Caenorhabditis elegans: one gene and its partner. The protein of the gene in region 1 purifies or fractionates together with the protein of each later gene. This does not show direct contact. Each region holds a gene or a part of one and is shown in the gene's direction. Other genes may lie near its edges.

Region 1 (7,564 bases):
AACATGCCATTGGACAGATTCGGCGTCTACCACATGAATGACAGTAGATGGTGGACGTAATCCAGCTTTAGCGCGCACATCGACATCTGAAAAATTCTTTTTGAACGAGAAACATCCATTTATGCAACTCACGGCTGCTCAAGAGATGTACTGCAGTGTTTCCAATCGTCAGAGCTCTCACAGATGAACTTTTTTTATCGAGCGACGCCACATCACCACCATCAATTTGAAGTTCGTATGACGGATTAGGCATGTTCACTATTTCTGTTCCACGCTGCTTGACAATTAAAACTTGGAATGGAAGAACTGAGTGAACTGGCAAGTAAACATCTTGAGATGGAACCAAAAGTAAATTTGCGACGACGGCGAGTTCGACGTTGTGCGCTGCTACTTTCTGAAAAAAAAAACATCCTAGGTAAATGTAGTTTTGCAGATTGCTCACCTGCAAATAAGCATCACTGAACTTGGTTGTCAATGTGGCTGTTCCTGTTCCAACACCTTCAATCAGAATTAGATATCCTTTCTTTCGATTCTTTTCCAGTTTAACAATTTCAGAAGGAGCTTCATATGTTGATTGCTCGAATGGAACAATTCGTAGTGGTTTCGCTTTATTTGAAGATGTTGATGCAAGCTCCCATTCCAATGCAATTTCACTGAGAGTAGAGAATCGATCGCCATCGGCGTTAAATGCGTCAACAGTCATTCGAGCAGGGGCAGCGTCCACGAATAGAACTTTCGTTGTTGTTTCGATGCTAATAGTTGCGATCTCATCTACTGTCACGCCGCAACTCAATGTTGTGCCGGATCCTTAATAAAAATTTTAAAACCAACATTTCACAAAAATTATACCTTTATCTTCTGCAAAAATAACAGCAGACAATTCCGAACTTCCAACAGTTCCAGGCTTCGCAACCGATCGAATTTCAGCTTTATCCGAACATCCAGCTTCGTTAGTTTCGATACGTTTAACAGAGACAATATCGGGACGAGTAGATCTCCTGCAATTAAATATATTAAAAAATAATTAGATCATTTCATTGAGTTACCATGTAAAACAACCTCCGGTTGGATGCGTTACTTCCAGCACAAATGAAACTGGGACCGTTGGATGGTACGGTAATAAAACTCGAGGAACATTTAGCCGGTATGATATTGTGATTTGCACTAAAGCCAAAACGAGCAGTGATCGAAGTATAATCATTGATCTATTCGGCTCTCCTACCTACAAAAAAATTAATGAAAATTTCTCTTATGGAAAAGGAAAACAGGTGGAGATGAGAGAAATTTATGTATTTAATATAAAAGTTAAAGTTAATTAACTATAGTGATCATGCATTAAATAAATAGTAGAATAAAAAATAAATTTAGCGATAACTCAGATCGGATTGAAGAAAAAAGAAACTGAAATTCTGCGAAAAAATTCAAAATTATTTCGTTGTACGCAAACACGGCGCGGTTCTTCACGACAATGAACCAATTTGGTGACCGTAGTTCATAATTCTAGATTCGGAATCTGAAGAAAAAGCGTAATTGGGGAAAAAACATGAAAAAACATGAAATTAATACCGTGAAATAAAATGCGCTTTTTTCCTTCTCGATCAAAGATATATTCATATTACCTCAAAAAAAATTTTACCTAACAAATTTGCTCGTAGATCTCTTTGTTATGGTTTTTTCCTGATATTTTCATTTCGACACATATTGCGACAACACGTGTTTTCATCAGCAGAAATTATTTGACAGTTATTTATTTTAAGTTACTTTATGATATTTTCAATAAAACGTGCTCAGAAAGTGCACAATGAGACGTTTCTTCTCGAGTTTCTATGTCTCCAAGACCCGGTTTACGAAAACCCGTGTTGTCTCGAATTATTGCAAGCGCGCTCCACTGCACTTCCATTTTTGCGCGAAGAAATGTTTTTGCAGTTTTCCTTGAATTTTTGTGGGGTTTTCAGAAAAACACTTTTAAAGGCACAATTTTGTATTTTACGTTAAGATTTTCCTAACACGTTCTTTTTTCCAATATTTTCAAGCCAGAACTGTTTTATTTCACGACAATTATTGCAGGATGGCATCGTTTCGTAAGAATCACGTCATTATTGATTCCTCAGACTCGTCGGAAGACGAGGATCGCAAGGTTTGTTCGAGTTTAACATTTGAATTTTGCTTTAAAATTATTGAATTTCAGGAAAGACACAGCTCCTCATCTGAAGTCGATGAAACAGCTTCAATGAGATCAACTGATAGCTCCGAGCCGCCCAGGACAATTATTGATGCCTCTCTGAATTCCATGGCTTCAACCGTGTACACATCAACTCCAAACTCCAAGCAGAGCATCTCCAGAACCGGTTCCTCCACCACCTACGGGAGCTCTAAATGCTCCACAGACGATCACTATCGTTCGAGAAGCTTCATTGACAACAGCTTCGAAAAACCAGTGACCCCGATCACCAAGAAGCTACAGGAATCCGATGAGCCCCGCGCAAAGCAGCAGCTCCGTGAGCGGCTCCTCAGAAAATCCATCAAACAGCAATCGGATCAAGATCTGACAGGTGGCTCATCGCGAAGTGGATGGGGAACTGGTGAAAATAGCAGTCTTGAAAGCAGTGATCTCATAAATTCGCATTTTTCGCCAATTGCGAAGACGTTCCGGCATGCTTCCGATTTGGATGATTCAATGGTAAGAATGGGGAAACATTGACCTAAAGCTGGCTCAAAATTCAAAATTTCCTTTTACTTTTTTCCGATATTTATCCAAAATTTCACATTTTACTTGCCAGAAATTATCTAGAAAACGATTTTTCAAGCGAGAAAATCACTTTTTGCAAGTTTTCAAGCCAACGTCTGACGTGTTTAACCAATTTTCGCCCAACGGAATCGGCTAGTGCTTCGGTATGTGACATAGTAAATTGATATTATTATCTATATCCTCTTTTTCGATATTTTCACAAAATTTCAGCTTTATTGTCAAAAAATATATAAATTTACAGAATACCTCTCCGCCGCCAAACCGTTCAACTCTTCCCTCGGTTGAAACAAGTTCTGGAAATTCTCCACAAACACCGTATCCAGGTTCTCCTGAAGCTTCTCCTCAACCGTCTCCTCCAAAAAATACTGCTTCAGAGCTCCAAAAGTTGAGCATAAAAGAGCTGGAAGCAAACAAAGATAAAAAGTTGAAACTTTTGAAGTTTTCATCGAATTTGCCGGACAATGGAGCACGTGTGAAGCTACAAGTTGATGAAATTACTGAAGAAATTGAACGAAGAATTATCAATGGAGTGACGGATACCATGGTGGTAGACAAAACCACGGCTATTCCCCCGCCACCACAGCCAAAAAACTTGATTGCTCCAATTCCACAGGATTTCGCGGCGATGTTGGACAAGAATGGGCGAAAAGTGATGAGCGGGCGGATGACAGAGCAGAAAATTCTCAAAGTCAATAAGATTTCCGATCGATTGATGCAACAGCTCGCCGAGTTCGTAAAAATTTTAGTTTCTTAGAAAATTGAGTCTCAGTTGACGGCTTCGTTCTATTTTACGAAAAAAAAAGAGTATTTGTGGATTCTGAGGGAACCAAAAGTTCTTTAAACTTTAATAAGCCACGCTCACAAAAATTGGCGTGGCTTGGAAACAGATATTTTAAAACAAATTTTTTTGATTCTTACAGTTTTTTTGAAAACAGTTCCCAAAAGCTGTGTGGATGCCATGCTGAAAAACTTGACCATAGAAATTTTAATGATAGAAAATACCATATTTTGGCCGAATATAACTAAAAATACAACTTTTCTTGTTTTCAAAAAACATTTTCGGTTTTTCTGCGTTGTTTTTGTGTTTCAATTAGCTATTCGAATAAGAAATTTTAATTACAAAACGAAAACCGGAAAACCAATCAGTCGAAAAACGGCCAAGTCAGACATTTTTTAGATTTTTATTTGAAATTGTAGAAATATATTTAATTCAATTTTAACAGTCATCATTTGAAACAAAAACCCAACATAGTGCTTCTCCTTCAAATTATAATCTAACAATTAATATAATTTCCGTAAGAAAATGGTCTTCTCTAAAATTATCTCTTCTTTTTTCAGCGCAACTCACACAATCCCAGCTGAAACAGACCTCACGGACACACCCGACGGGCTCCTCGTCGAGCTAATGCCTCACCAAAAAGCAGGGCTTCGCTGGCTTGTCTGGCGTGAGGGTCAACCACATTCGGGTGGGATCCTCGCAGACGATATGGGTCTTGGCAAGACTTTATCAATGTTATCATTGATTGTGCATCAGAAGGCAGCGAGAAGAGCACGGAAAGAGTCTGGAGATAATGCCGCGGATAAGGAGAAGAGAAGAGTGGCAAAAGAAGAAGGATTGTATCCATCAAATGGCACATTAATCATTGCACCAGCTTCACTTATTCACCAATGGGAAGCTGAAATCAATCGAAGACTCGAATCAGATTTGCTTTCCGTTTTTATGTTCCATGGAACAAAGAAACAGAGACAAATTGAGCCAAAGGAGCTTGCAAGATATGATGTCGTCATCACCACGTACACATTGGCAGCCAATGAGCTTATGGAGAAAAAGGCGGCTGGATCCAAGAAAGAGGAAGATTCCGACGATGAATCAGGTACGAATTTTAAATCTGAATTCAAGCTGAATTTTGATCACAATCCGATTTCCCTGGAAAATGAGTTATTTGTTCCAAAAAAACTATTTTCTTTTCAAAAAAAGTGGGAGTTTTCGGGAAAAATATCTATTTCAAGGAAATGTATTATTTCTTTTAAAAAAAGAACTTTCTGGAAAGTATAATTTCATTCCAATTCAATAATCGATTGCTTACAAAAACGATTTTGCTTTTGTGAAAACTCAGCATATGTTTTTTCTAAAAACTCTATAATTTGAAATGCCAATGTTTTTAAATAAATCAGAAATTTGAACCCATTTTCCGCGATTTCATTAATTTTTTCCAGAGAACGAAGAAAATCCCCGTCGCCCTGCTGGCAAAAACGACTCCCCTCTTGCTCGTGTCGCTTGGTCCCGTGTGATTCTCGACGAGGCTCATGCCATCAAAAATCGTCTCTCCCAATGTTCAAAAGCAGTGTGCCGGCTCTCATCATTCTCGCGTTGGTGTCTCTCGGGTACTCCGATTCACAATAACCTATGGGATTTGTACAGTCTCGTGAGGTTTTTGCGTATCCCGTTGTTCGGCGATCGGAAGTTCTGGGCCGAATCAATTATGCCAATGAAGACTGGAATGGCGGATCGTGTGAATTTGCTGACGAAAAATTTGATGCTCAGAAGAACTAAGGATCAGCAGTGCGCTCTGACCAATAAGAAAATTGTAAACTTGAAAGAAAAGAAAATCGAGATCCATGAGTTGGAGATGGTTGGAGATGAAGCCAATGGCTATGCAATTATGATGGAGGCGGCACAAAAGCTTGTTAAGCAAATCGTCACTAATACTGATGATATTCAAAAGTACGGTCAGATTCGTAGACGCAGACAACGAGGAAATGATGATGAATTCGCGAACCCGTACAACGTCGGGCCACGGAACTTGGCGGGAAACTCGAATTTCCAGAATATGTCATGCATTTTGTTGTTGCTGATGCGTCTTCGTCAAGCGTGTGTTCACTTTCATATCACCAAAAGCGGAATGGACTTGGACGCATTCAAGATTAACGGAGGAGACGACGAGGATGCTGATATGAAAGAGTTGGAGAATCTTATGGAGAAGACAATGGCGGATTTGACGATTGCCGATAGTGATAATGATGAGGAAGGCGTCGATACAAATAAGGAGGAGCCAAAACAACCACCCACGCGAATCTTTGAGCCCGATTTCATTAGCTGCAAGATGGCCAAAACGCTGGAAGTTGTTCGTGAAATTTTGGAGAAGAAGGAGAAAGTGTACCTTTTTTTTTCTTTTTGAGGATATACTATGAAATTTCAAGATAGAAACACTGACATTCTAGTAATCAGAACAGTTAATTTTTTTTTTTGAAAATAAATCAATGTTAAAAATTATTCAATTTGATGATGCAACCTGGATATGTCCCGAAGAGAAAATCCTTAAAACTACAATAAATGTTCAAAAATCAATATTTCCAGTGTGATTGTCTCCCAGTGGACTTCTGTGCTGAATCTTGTGGAAAAGCATATTCAAGCAGGCGGCCACAACTATACATCAATCACCGGCCAGGTTCTTGTCAAAGATCGCCAAGAACGAGTTGACAGTTTCAACCAGGAAAAAGGCGGAGCTCAGGTGATGCTGCTCTCATTGACTGCCGGAGGTGTTGGACTCAATTTGATTGGAGGAAATCATCTGATTATGGTTGATTTGCACTGGAATCCCGCACTGGAACAGCAGGCTTGTGACAGAATTTATCGAATGGGACAGAAGAAGGAAGTCTTTATTCATAGGTACTTTTTTTAAAAATCATGTTATGTGTCTAAATACTATGTACATATTTTTAGACTAAATATTTCAAAATTTTGCAGATTAATCGTGAAGGGGACCATCGAGCAACGAGTCATGGATCTCCAGGAGAAGAAGCTCGCATTGGCAGCTTCGGTGTTGGAAGGAACAGCGACCCGAAAATTGAACAAGCTCACCACCGCCGACATTCGTATGCTCTTTGGACTAGACGGATCGAGCAATGCGAATTAATTTTTTCTTTTTTTCAAACCATTCCCCCCCCCCCCCCTCTTTTCGCCAGATTGTTTCCCAAAAAGTCTGGATTTTTAACTTTTTTTGTAGCTTAAAATGTAGGATAGAAGGAATTTTAGCTCTCCTCTGGTAGAATGATATTTTTTACGTGTATGCCATCCCGACCTCAGCAGCTCGTATTTTTTCTTCTTTTATAAAATAGTATTGATTTAAATGAATGTGTGGTTCTTTCGTGATATCTTCTATTATGTCAGAACAATTAAAGAAAAATAAGTAAATGAGCGATTTAGTGAATGTGTGTTACCTGGGAATTTTCGATATATAACATTGCTTTTGTATTTTTTAAGGAATCGTAGGTAAAATATTGTAACCGTTTATACAAATGCATTTCTACATGATCATAATATTTGAACTTCCCCCTAATTGAAAACTGCAAGATCAATCAATGATTAGCTCCGCCCCTGGTAAAGTTCGAATACGCTGATTGGTTATAAAGAGGACGTGGCTTGTCATTTTGGAGGAATTTCAAACATGAAAAAATTCAATTGAGAAGAGATTTCAATTTTAAAATTGATATTTCTGAATTTCAAAATATTTTGGGTACTTGAAGAACCGTAAAGAAAAATCCCCAATCACAAGTTCTAGAGTATTCAAGAAGAAAAAAACCATAAAATAACAGAATTGGAACGGATCTTTATTCCATCGAAAAATAAAAAAAGAATTTGAAATTAAAAATGATGTTAATTGCCTGTTTCAGATGTCAACGTGTCTGTGAGAGAGAGAGAATTCATGTTAAAATGTTAAAATGAATATAATTATCTGACAAAACATGATGGGAGAGAGAATACAAAATTTCAGTTGTGGACGGAGAGAGTGATGACTGTTATTTAATGGAAAA
Region 2 (3,352 bases), on another chromosome or scaffold:
AAATTCTTTAAAATTTCCAGAAAAATACATTTTTTGGCTAAAATCTTTAATTTTTAAATTTTTCGATGTCATATCGGCTGGAAATTTTTTTTAATTGAATATTGTCCTACTTGGCGCGTTTTTGTGGAAAAATATTTGCTTTATCTTTAGCTTTTATTTTAGTGGGAACAATGGGAAGAGTGCTCTTTCAGACAATTTTTGAGCACTTTTCATTTTTTTTTTCCTAATGAAATAAAAGGTATTTTCAGATAAAACAATTTTTTTTTCAATTTTTTATCAGAAAATTTAATGAACAATTTTGGGAAAACCTGCTAAATTTGCTAGTTTTGTAAAATTTCGTATTGGTTTTAAATACACCCAAATAAACGAAAAAACGTGCACAATATGCCAATAATCAATTAAAAATCAATTTCCAGACGCCACAGCACCGAAAAATTGGCATAATTGGAAATTTTAGCGAAAACCAAGCGATTTTCTCCGAATTTTTGTTATAATATCCGCTACTTTCGAGCCATTTTGAGTATAATAACCGTACTTTTGCCACCATTTCAGCAGCATTTCCCTTCGGACATCTAATAATCGGAACAATTCCCATAGTGGCACAAACTGCAAAAAGTCCGTCGGCAATGGAATCAAGCATCGCATTCACGGCGACATCGGATGTTCCGGGTGAATTCATTGCGTGATATGAGAATGTACTATTTTCACTGTAACGACGGAGCACAAAGAGATCATCTTCCAGGGAAATGAAGTTGAGATATTGATCCACTACCTGGAAATTTTGAAAATGTCGGAAAATCTAATTTTTTTTTGAAATAAAAAGTTATTTTTGCTGAAAAACTAGTGCAAAATTCAATTTTATAAGTGTTTTTACGACAAACTTTGTTAGAATCAAGAAAAAAGGTTGATAATTTTCAAAATTCTGTACTTTTTGCAAGAAAAAATCCGAAAAAAAACCACAATTTTGAGATTTATAATGGTTTTTGCAGCACAAGTTATGAAGAATGTAGAAGGTTTTCGACTAGTTAATGCTGAATTAAATATATTTTTTAATTCTTTATCGCACTTTTTGAACTTGTGAAACTGCTCCCCCGTGTACTGCAGCTGAAGCGAGCGATTCGAGACGAGGACGAGCCAACGGGGAGATGAAATTGCAATAGAACGAGTCGTACATGGCTTTTTTGAGATCTTCACTCATCAAATCAATATTCTCATCGTTTGGCGACACGAAGTACACAGCTGGAACGTCGGTTAGCGGCTCACGGCGGGCTCCGATCAATCTGCAATATGAAAAATTGAATTTCTGCGCAGTTTTTTAGCTAAAATCGCACAAATGAAGGGTAACTCCGAGTTCTCTGAGCTGTTTGACTGGGAGAAGCGGCGAAATTATATCCTGTCCGGTTCTGTCGAGCACCAATACTTTCCATACCTAAATTCACACAATAAATTTGATTTTTCAGGTATTTTAAATCGGCCTACCGGTTCTCTGACTCCAGAATTGACTACGGGCTCATTCAAATTGATCATCGTCCGTAAAGCGACTGAAAATATGGAGATTTATTTATATTTTATTCATATCAAGCATGAATTCTCACCTATTTGTCGCGTTCGAACGCTTTCCAGCTCCGCCGGCATAATTTTGTTCGTTAAAATATTTTTTAAAACCCTGGAAAATTATCTGATAAAATCTGTGTAGATTTACGGCCACGTAGAATAGAAGACGAGAAGCGTGTCAAACGGTGTACACTGGCGCATTTTGCGTGCAATGCATTTTTTTAAAAGAAAAGCGGAATTTTAAAACAGAATTGTGTGAAAAATTTAATTTTCAGAGAAAGATTTTAGAGAAAAAAAAATGCAAAATTCTGATAAAAAATAAATAATTTTTATTAAAATACGCAATTTCTCGTAAAATATAATGTTTGACCTACATTTTGATCTCTCACTGATCATCGAAACAACAACAAAAATGTAAACAAGTAAACAACAACAAACAACAAACAAAAATTGGGTATAAAAGGCGCGGATTTTGCCATTTTCCTCAGACGTTCATCGTTTTTCACCTCATTCTTAACCCTATTCACTCAACTATGTCTTCTCTCTGCCCATACACTGGCCGTCCAACCGGACTCTTCCGCGACTTCGAGGACATGATGCCATACTGGGCTCAGCGTCACAGCATGCTCAACAACTTCAACAACATCGTGCCACAACAGCTCAACGAGGTCGAGAACACCGCCCAGAAGTTCTGTGTCAAGCTCGACGTCGCCGCGTTCAAGCCGGAAGAGTTGAAGGTCAATCTTGAGGGACACGTTCTCACCATTGAGGGACACCACGAGGTCAAGACCGAGCACGGGTTCAGCAAGAGGTTGGTTTTATTTTATTTTTCATTTATTGGAATTAAAATTAATTAAAAATTTTCAGATCGTTCACTCGCCAGTTCACTCTTCCAAAGGACGTCGACTTGGCTCACATCCACACCGTCATCAACAAGGAAGGACAGATGACCATCGATGCTCCAAAGACCGGCTCCAACACCACCGTTCGTGCTCTTCCAATCCACACTTCTGCTGGACACGCTGTCACCCAGAAGCCATCCAGCACCACCACCACCGGAAAGCACTAAATTGCCCCCAACTTTCTAGATTACATACTGCCAGGACAAAAATAAAGCTGTAAAATGAGAAAAAAAGTGTTTTTCTTTTGTTTTGGGTACAGGGGGGAGTCTTCGGTTTCGAAAGTTCTTCCATCTTTCTGGAAATGCCTAGAAACTGTCGTTCTGTGAAGCGTTTTTTCTTCTTCGATTAAGATGAGTCCCCTTGAAAGTTCCGCTCGTCGAAAGTTTCAGCAACCTTCGTCCGTTGAAGATACCTGCTCTGTTAACTAATTTCGAAGTGATACATTTCAAATTCATTATCAACTTAAAAAACAGCTTAAAAACAAAACAATTAGCAAAAATCCGAGTTCATCCACCATGAAGCGTCGAGACAAAAGTAATCGTATCCCCTGCCTCAATAACCGTATCGTATTCTAACAGCAATCCGGTATCCGTGTCATTGATAAGGGTAATCACTCCGTGAGCAACTTCGCTGGCGTCATCGTTGAGCAACATATTTATCCGGTGAACATCCGTGACGAGGTTGTCCCGGACAAATTTCAGCACGTCTCGGAGTGTAGAGTCTGAAATAAAAATCGTCAAAATTCGTTTTTAAAATTCAAAAATCAAGTACCTGCCGGAATCTGAACCTTTTGTGCTTTTGCTTTGACGAGAAACTCGGCTCCGCCGGAAAAATCAATTGTGACTGGAATTGTGCTCATCTGAAATCAATAATACTTTAAAACATAAATTTCGAAA

What was found.
Region 2: the proteins of T23H2.3 (region 1) and sip-1 fractionate together in Caenorhabditis elegans (co-fractionation; one large-scale study listed by BioGRID). This does not show direct contact.

What each region holds. Positions count from the first base shown.
Region 1 is NC_003279.8:6,440,969-6,448,532, reverse strand, and holds T23H2.3 (Transcription termination factor 2), read left to right. Parts: upstream 1-2,067; 5' UTR 2,068-2,068; coding exon 2,069-2,137; intron 2,138-2,188; coding exon 2,189-2,680; intron 2,681-2,990; coding exon 2,991-3,478; intron 3,479-4,087; coding exon 4,088-4,623; intron 4,624-4,966; coding exon 4,967-5,906; intron 5,907-6,107; coding exon 6,108-6,419; intron 6,420-6,497; coding exon 6,498-6,666; 3' UTR 6,667-6,889; downstream 6,890-7,564. Other genes in the region: npp-12 (BIG2 domain-containing protein), read right to left, coding at 1-86, 133-394, 443-807, 850-998, 1,047-1,201.
Region 2 is NC_003281.10:10,505,443-10,508,794, reverse strand, and holds sip-1 (Stress-induced protein 1), read left to right. Parts: upstream 1-1,993; 5' UTR 1,994-2,087; coding exon 2,088-2,365; intron 2,366-2,421; coding exon 2,422-2,623; 3' UTR 2,624-2,689; downstream 2,690-3,352. Other genes in the region: sly-1 (Sec1 family domain-containing protein 1), read right to left, coding at 536-772, 1,067-1,280, 1,332-1,429, 1,480-1,541, 1,596-1,635; urm-1 (Ubiquitin-related modifier 1 homolog), read right to left, coding at 2,963-3,177, 3,228-3,315.